Linked DNA regions of Oryctolagus cuniculus. The protein of the gene in region 2 purifies or fractionates together with the protein of the main gene of each other region. This does not show direct contact. Links are inferred from orthologs where the notes say so. Each region holds a gene or a part of one and is shown on either strand. Other genes may lie near its edges.

What was found.
Region 1: the proteins of MRPS27 (region 2) and NOA1 purify together in Homo sapiens (co-immunoprecipitation; 3 studies listed by BioGRID and IntAct, counting the BioPlex papers as one, with this or other methods). This does not show direct contact. The link is inferred for Oryctolagus cuniculus from reciprocal best matches to the Homo sapiens genes MRPS27 and NOA1.

Annotation. Positions count from the first base shown.
Region 1 is NC_091439.1:107,686,668-107,691,017, reverse strand, and holds the start of NOA1 (nitric oxide-associated protein 1), read right to left. Parts: upstream 2,819-4,350; 5' UTR 2,776-2,818; coding exon 1,701-2,775; intron 1,044-1,700; coding exon 879-1,043; intron 280-878; coding exon 74-279; intron 1-73. Other genes in the region: POLR2B (DNA-directed RNA polymerase II subunit RPB2), read left to right, coding at 3,645-3,663. UniProt on the Homo sapiens protein: Involved in regulation of mitochondrial protein translation and respiration. Plays a role in mitochondria-mediated cell death. May act as a scaffolding protein or stabilizer of respiratory chain supercomplexes. Binds GTP.
Region 2 is NC_091445.1:38,743,751-38,747,554, reverse strand, and holds part of MRPS27 (small ribosomal subunit protein mS27), read right to left. Parts: intron 3,093-3,804; coding exon 2,977-3,092; intron 1-2,976. UniProt on the Homo sapiens protein: RNA-binding component of the mitochondrial small ribosomal subunit (mt-SSU) that plays a role in mitochondrial protein synthesis. Stimulates mitochondrial mRNA translation of subunit components of the mitochondrial electron transport chain.

The DNA.
Region 1 (4,350 bases), on a different chromosome or scaffold from region 2:
TCTGCCTTTCAAATAAGTAAATATTAAAATAAAAAAAAAAAAGTAAGTGTGGAGGAAGAGACCAGATACATACACAATTTTCTTTTGAAATCCCAGGGGTGTCATAGAACCAGTGGGCATCTTTCACGTCCTGTGGAGTCAATTCCACTCGCTTGGTGGATTTGTCTGGAGTCAGCACAGGTTCATTTTCCATGTCAAAGGCCAGTGAATCCGCATCAAACTCAAAGGCAGCTTCACCCTTCTGCTCCTTTGAATACAAGAATGTTCTTCCAACTCTTCCTAGAACACATTATACCGAGGTCATCAGTCAGTCCGTCAAAGCTTTTGACTCCAGACAACTTACGAAGGCTAACTTAGGTGTACAGAAGTGAGACAAGGTCTCTTTGATTTGTAGGAACAAATTAAAAGCAAACTTACTAATTCTATTTGGAAAACAGACCGAGAAATCATCTTCCTGCTGATTCACTTCCTAAATGAACTCAACAGCCGGGCCAGATGGAAGCGCAGCAGCCAAGCCGGGAACTCAGGCTGGGTCTCCCAGGAGGGTGGCAGGGACCCAAATACCCAGGACATCACCTGCTGCCTCCCGGGAAGCCGGAGCGCGAGCTTGCACACAGGAGTTGAACAGAGGCATTCTGATAGGGGACATGGCCGTCGTAACTACTGCATGAAACGCCTGTCCCCAGGGCAGCCGCTGCACGGAGTCACCAACATTTACCACGAGTATCGGTCTGGGGTTCCAGATGGAGGCAGCCTTGCCTTTAAAGAGACCAAGCAAGGCAGCCTCTCCCCGCAACAAGCGGCTGGCCCCAGGCCCCTGAATTTCGGGGAGAATTCCGGCATGGGACCAACAAGGGCTTTCCCCACAGGACGCTTACCCACTACGTATCCACGTCTTTTCAGGAGCCGGAGCCGATTCTGTTCCTGCTCACTGAGCTCCTCTTCAGCTTTGGCCGCGTCCTCTTTAAGTCTTTTTTGTCTTTCAAACATTCTGTAGGGAGTTGGGTTGCAGATGGGGAACTTGAGAAGGTTTAACGTAGTACCTGGAACACGGGGAAGGGAATAAGGGGAAGGAATGAGCGCTTCTGAGGATACGCGCTGTTGTGGGGTACGCTGCTTTCTCTCACGCAACCTCCACGCTAGCCCCCTAGAAATAGTCCCACTTCACGGAGGAGTCGTAAATAAGCCGATTGGCTCGCAAGCTTAACCAGGACTTGAATCCAAAATCCGTGTGCATGTCTGATTGCTGTTTTCAACATCACCAGGTAAAAAGCAACTGCGGAGAATTCAACTCCAGCGCAAGGCAGAAGACCAGCTCACTAAGCAAGGGTGAAGTCTGGCTTCAAGGGGACACAGGGCTGTCGCAGTGCGCTCTCCCAAGTCCAGCACAAACAGGGTCACAGACACAGGGACCCATTTTCCAAGCACGCAAGTTTCTTACCAAGTCACCACCCGCCCTTTCTTCCCCACGCACGCTCTGCACTACGGGTTATTCACGTGTTGTGCGTGGAGCACCCGCTGGCCTCACGCCGGGAGTCAAAGCCAGAGGACCCTACGAAGAAGCCAGCTCCAGGGACACGGCCAGAGCGCAGGGGCTTCGGCTCTGTTCCGGCCAGGGAGGCGCGAGACCCCCGCAGGGCTGCAAGGTTCCAGGGAAGGCGCCCGGCGGCGGGCACGGTGCGCCCGCTTCTCGCACTCACCCGGCCACGGCGAGATGGTGGCCTTGTCGATGGCCTCGGCGCCCTTGGCGGTGCAGTAGTCGGACTCCAGCAGCGTGTTGAACAGCGTGGACTTGCCGGCGTTGGTGGCGCCCACCAGGTAGACGTCGCCGCGGTAGCGCCAGGCGCGCTGCAGCGCCGAGATCAGCTCCTCCACCCCATAGCCGGTCTTGGCGCTGACCAGCCGCACGTCCCTGACCACCGTGCGGGACGCGCTCTGCTCCTCGTCCCCGCCGGCGCCGGGCTGCGGCCCTCGGTGGCCCGGCGCCGGCAGCAGCCCGGCGCGCACGCACTCGTCCCACAGCCGCTGGCGGAGCCGCCGCCGGTAGTCAGGCGCGTCCTGCGGCAGCAGGTCCACCTTGTTCCCCAGCACGATCAGCTGCTTGGGGCCCACCAGCGCGGGGAGGTGGCGCAGCAGCGGGTCGGGCAGGTCCAGCAGGTCCAGCAGGTAGAGCACCAGCGCGGGCCCGGGCCGCCGCAGCGCCGCGCTCACCTGCTGCAGGTACTGCGCGCGGCTCACGCGCAGCCGCAGGGCGCGCCGGTGGTGCACCAGCAGCCAGCAGCGCTGGCACACGGCGCGCGCCAGCTGGCCGTCCTGCGCGGCGCGGGCGAACTTCTCGCTGGGCAGGTAGCCGGGCACGCCGGGGTCCCGGCAGTGGAGCTCCGCCCCGCAGCCCGAGCAGGGCAGGCCGCTGGGCGGCACCGCCGGGTCCGGGCGGCCCGCGGCCGGGGGCGCGCGGAGGCTGGCCCGCGCCTGCCGCCGCTCCGCCCGGCGCCGCGCCTGCTCCTCCTGCTCCTGCTCCCGCTCCCGCAGCGCCCGCAGCAGCTCCTCAGGCGTCGGCGGGGGCTCCGGCTCCGGGGTGTACTCGGGGAACAGGAAACGCTCCTCGGTGTCGTCCCCGGGCGCGGCGGGGCCTTGAGGGAGCGCCCGCCGCAGGCCCGACGGGGGCTGGGAGGCGGCGGCGGCCGCGCATCCCGTCCGCAGCAGCCGCACCGCAGGCGCGGACCACCGCACCACGGGGCCCAGCAGCCTCCCCGCTAGGCGTGCGGGCAGCATGGGGATCGCGGCCCGCCGCGAGGGGGCGGAGCCACCACCGAGCACGCGCAGTGGGGCCCCAGGCGCCCGTTCTGCCCCAAACCCCGGAGGTGCGGCTTCCTTCCACCTCGAGATCCCGCGAGTTATCGCGATGAAAGCGTAGCGGGAAAGCCGCGGTATCAGCCTCCCTTGAGGGCACAGGTTCGAGTCCCGGCTGCTGCACTTGCAACCCGGCTCTCTGCTGGGGCCTCGGGAAGGCAGCAGAAGATGGCCCAAGTCCTTGAGGCCCCTGCACCCACGTCGGGGACCGGGAGGAAGTTCCTGGCTTCAGCTCCGCGGTTGTTGCGGCCACCTGGGGGAGTGAACTAGCGGTCGGAGGACCTCTCTGCCTCGTTGTAAATCTGCCTCTCAAATAAATAAATAAATCTTTCTTCAAGCTTTCTCAAGGCGCTACGGCCAGCACAAGTCGCACTTAATCCCTTTTAGTTTTGTGGCTTCCTGGTCTTTGGAGTGCAAACAATACAGCCTTAAACCTGCGAGCTCACGCCACGGCCAGAACCGCTAACAAATTCACTTGGATTTTTTTCAGGCGGGGTTTGTTCAACGTGAAGCAGCTGTAGAGCCGCCCCTCCGCCTCGGACTGGTCGCGCCCCGGCTCAGCCGCGCCCGAGCGACCCCGAGCCCAGCCCGCCCTATGCTTCAACTGGCGCAGGCGCAGATCCCACCTCGGCGACGGTGGGGCGGGCCTTCGGGGACGCAGAGAATTGTGGGAACACCGGAACCGGAAGTTGCTTCGTCTCTGCCTGCGGCCCTGTGGCGGCTGCTACGCGGTTTTCTGTCTCAGTGGTTTTTCTTTTTGAGGGTTAGGATCTCCTGGACCGTTTGCCAACATGTACGACGCGGACGAGGGTAGGTGACCATGCAACGCAGACTCCGCGGCGGGAAAATGGGGGAGCTGGACGGCTTTGCGTCCGCCGCCCGGAGACCCCCGCGGTGTACCCCCGCCACCCCCGGGCCGCGGTCCGAGCTGGGCGTGCGGGAAGTGGCGGCGCGGGGGATGCGCGCGTGCAGGCTCCTGGCCGGCTGTGTTCGTCCCGTGGTGGAGTGGCGTGCGGAACCGTAGGCAGATGGCGTTGTTCCGGCTCGGGGGCGTCCCGACGGTCCTCGGGTCCCCGGGCCACCGATGGACGGAGTGGCGCTGGCCATCCGTTAGGTTGTGTGCTGGGCCCTGGGAGCACGGCGGCCGCGGGTGGCCCTCCTCCGTGCAGTCCTAAACCTCGGGGAATTGTCTCGAAGGTGTCCTTGGAACTGACTGCGCCCCAGAGGGACGCGCGGCCGCCAGAGAGGTGTTCTGGCTCCCAGTCCCGTAGCCCCCCTGGCATCCCACCCGCTCGCCTCCGCTGCCTCTCGGAGGAAGCAGAAGCGCAGGCTTAGCGTCTCAGCGCCGGGGCTCATCGGACCCACCAGCTGTCCGGTTTGAACCGCGTCCACGCAGGTAGCTGCTGGTACAGATTCTCCTGCTCCAAGGTTTCTTTACGTACGTGTGAGTGAGCGTAAATGGGATTGTGTGGTTCCCCGATTTTCAGACAAAAAGCA
Region 2 (3,804 bases):
GTGAACTGCCTTTGTGTGGTACAAGTGACAGTTCTTAATGTTTTTCCCTAAACCTCTGAAAGAGGCAAAGACCTTGGGAGAAAAAACAAAACCGCCCAGGTACTTCTGCAGCACAGGTAGGTGAAAGAGCTGATAATTAAGGACCAGGTCATTAGTTTCAAAAGCAAAGCACTCTAATCAAGGGAAACTGGGTGCCCCCCACCGTAAACTGTGTGAAAATCTGGTTCAACAATAAATAAGGAATTTAAAAAATATAGAAATGTCTTCCAATGGGGAAAAACATGGGCTACAGTACTGGGATGCGTTAGGGGCTAAAGCTCCTCTGAGTAGTGACATACTGAAGTGACAGTTTTCCTTGATGTGCCAGCAATCAGGTGAGGTGCTGAAGGTGACTGGAAAGCAGACTTCCCAAGGGAGATGAACAGGAACAGACGGACACAACTCTGGAGTTTTTTGATTGTCTGGGAATACGACAACTACAGCTGTTCGTGCGATAAGCTATTTATGTGTCAACATAAGGTATCAGATCCCTGCCCACCCTGAGAGGCTACTGTAGATGCTCCGCTGGAGGAGTTCAGGCGCTAGCTCACCAAGGTCCTCAAGGTTGTCCTGTCGCATGCTTGTGCCTCTCCTGTTCACACGCAGTGAATCTCACACTCCCAGGCTCCCTCCTCACCTAGACATGCTGTCTCCTTTCTGCAGCTCTAAAGCACTCCATAATCTACTCCAGTTTGGTTTCCTGCCCCACTACTCTATGGGAGCCAAGGTGACAACCTGAGGGCCTCCAAACTACAACATTCAGTGAGCTGTTTCTACTCCTCATCTTACCCCGCCCTCGCAGGAGCACCCTACACGGCAGATCACTCTTCCAAGGGACTCTGCGGCCCAACACATTCCTGATTCGCCTTCCCTTCGCTCTGAGCCTTATGTGCAGACATTTATATATGGTTTATAAACTAATCTCCAAAATCGCATCTCCAGTTCAGATCTTTCTGTTAAGCCCCTAATTTCCCTATTGAAATCTCTCGACCGGCTCAAAAGCATCTCAAAATGCAGGATGTTCACAGCCAAGTTCATGATTTTCCTCAAAAAACCCAATCTCTTTTCAGAATTCCCTTTGCAAACACATGGCACCCCATCTGCACAGATCTACAAGCCAGGAACTGAGAAGGGGGTATGTGACCCCTAACTCCCTGCCTCCACATCTTCATCTTGTTACTTACTTCCCAAATACGTCTACTGGTCACAAATTCCACCACATCCTGGTCCCTAGGCCACCATTATCTCTTATCTGGAATCCTTAAGAGTCTCTACACTGGGGCAGTGTTTTGATGTAATGGGTTAAGCTGCCACCTGCAATGCCGGCATCCCATATGGGTGCCGGTTTGAGCCCTGGCTGCTCCACTTCCGATCCAGTTCTCTGCCAACATGCCTGGGAAAGCAGCGGAAGATGGCCCAAGTGTTTGGGCCCCCTGCCATCCATGTGGGAGACCCGGATGAAGTGCCAGGCTCCCGGCTTGGACCTGGACCAGCCCAGCCCTGGCTGTTGCAGTCATTTGGGGAGGGAACCAGCAGATGGAAGATTTCTCTCTAACTCTGCCTTTCAAATGAATAAAATAAATCTTAAAAAAAATAAATAAATAAAAAGCCCCTACGCTGGTCTGACCATATCCATCCTTGTCTTGCTCCGATCTCATCCACATTACAGCCAGAGGGCGCTTTTTGAAACACAAATCTGATCTCGCTATGCCCTCTGATTCAAGCTTCTCCGTGGCTTCTCCAACCTTGTCTCGCCCACATCCTCCCTTCCACTCTGCCACTGTGGCTGCCCTGGCCATCTGCTCACCACGCTCTTCCTGCCACAGGGAGTTTGCGTACTGTCTGCTCTTCAGCTAAGTAATTCCTGCTCATCCTTCAATATTAACCCAAGAACAATTTCCTGACAAGCTCTGAACTATTTCCATTTCTAACCAACTGAAGTTTAAAGTACAAAGTTCCCTACCACATGGGTGTTTCACAGACTTCTCCACTGCCATGCTTATTATAGTCATAATTTTATGCTTGTGTGTTTGTTTCAGATGCCTGTGGCAGGAAATGTTTGTGCACCACTGTATAACCAGCACGTGGCAATAGCGGGAACAAGTAGGTGCTCACTATATTTAACGAATGTGGGCAATATCATAGACTAGGACACTTAGGAAGGCACACAATACCAAGTGTTCTTTACAACACAGCCTGCACTAGATGCATTTTGCAGTTCCTACTCAAACTGGGATTTCTGCAGGCTACATTGGAACTTAAGGGCAGACCACAGAGCCAGACTGCCTGGCTCTGCCATCTCTACGTCCCTGTGTCCTTATCGGCACAGTCAGTGTGAGGCCTAAATGCACTGATGAGTTTAAACAAACAAGAACACAGCCTGGTGTGAAGTTAAGTGCTGCACAAATACTAGTATTGTTATGCTTAGGAAAGCAATAAATAGTGACTAAACAACCTAACCTAGGACCTGAAACCAAAATTTGTCTTTATGGACCTTCCAGAACACAATGGACCTACAACAACCTTACGAAAACCCTGATGCAAAGTAAATAATCAGTATGCAGCACCCCAGATTGTGGTCAGAGCTAGATGCCGCCTTGCTTTCTTGATAGGCCATGCCCGGCTCTCAGTGATGATCAGAGACCCACTTCTGAGAGTCCACGGTCGCTCAGCCTAGCTCAGGATGTGCCACAGGGACTGTGACTTGTGGTTCTGTCAAGTGCACAGACATGCAGCTCAACTCTGCTAGAACACAGTAGCTAAAATGTTCAGACTGAGCATGCACACCCAGTGTTGGGCCACCACACAGCCACACACTGGGTTCTGTTTTCCAGATTCTGAGAGCAATGTTTCCACGGGCCACCTGCTCCACGACTGAGCAGCCACTGCTTGGTTCTTCCCAAAGCTCTCAGCCCTGCTGTGGGGCGGATCACTTACACTGAGGTCTGTCTTCTTGGCCAGGCAGTGGTATAAAACATAGAGAGACAGAAGCTGGGTGGATGGCGCGTCAAAGGCTTCTTGCAACATGACCTCAAAAACCACAGACAAAGCATCTGGCAAGGAGATGAAAGGAAAAAGGAGAGGAGATCAGCTGGAGGTAACATCAGCAAATTACACACTCTAAAAAAGTGGGGTGTGGTAGAATCATAAGAAGAATCAGGAAATAACAAATGCAGGCTCTGACCCTCCTTCCATTAACCAGGTCCTCCCATGCCTGCAGTGTCTACGATACAGCTCCAAACAGGCTAAATCTAGTGCTACTGCACCCGTGAGCTCGGGGACACTGGAGAAGCCACTTGGCTCCTGGCATCATCTTCCTAATGGTATTTGTCCCATCTGCTTCGAAAGATTTTTGGATAGTCCAACATGTGAAAATGTCTCAGAAACTATGAAGCAAATTTAAGGCACCATGTTCCTTGGCTAGAAGAGCTCCGGCACACAGAAAGGAAGTATGCCAATGTTCAAGGTCATCCTGACAAGCAGAGCGGAAAGGCTGCGCTAACTGGCCCATTCTCTGCTCTCCGTTGAGGCAGAGGAGGGAAAACATGCTAGAGGAGATTCTAAATCTCAGGGACTCGAAGACAGAAACCAATGGCTATAAAAAGGACAATACAATCTGGTTTGAAAGTCCTACAAGGACAAGGAAAACGCTCATTGTTGATGAGTGCAACATGCAGTGTAAGAGGTCTGCTTCCGCGGGAAGGCTGGTCATAGCAGAGCAGGCCTGAAGCAGTTCGTATTTTCCCCTGATATTCTACAGGATAA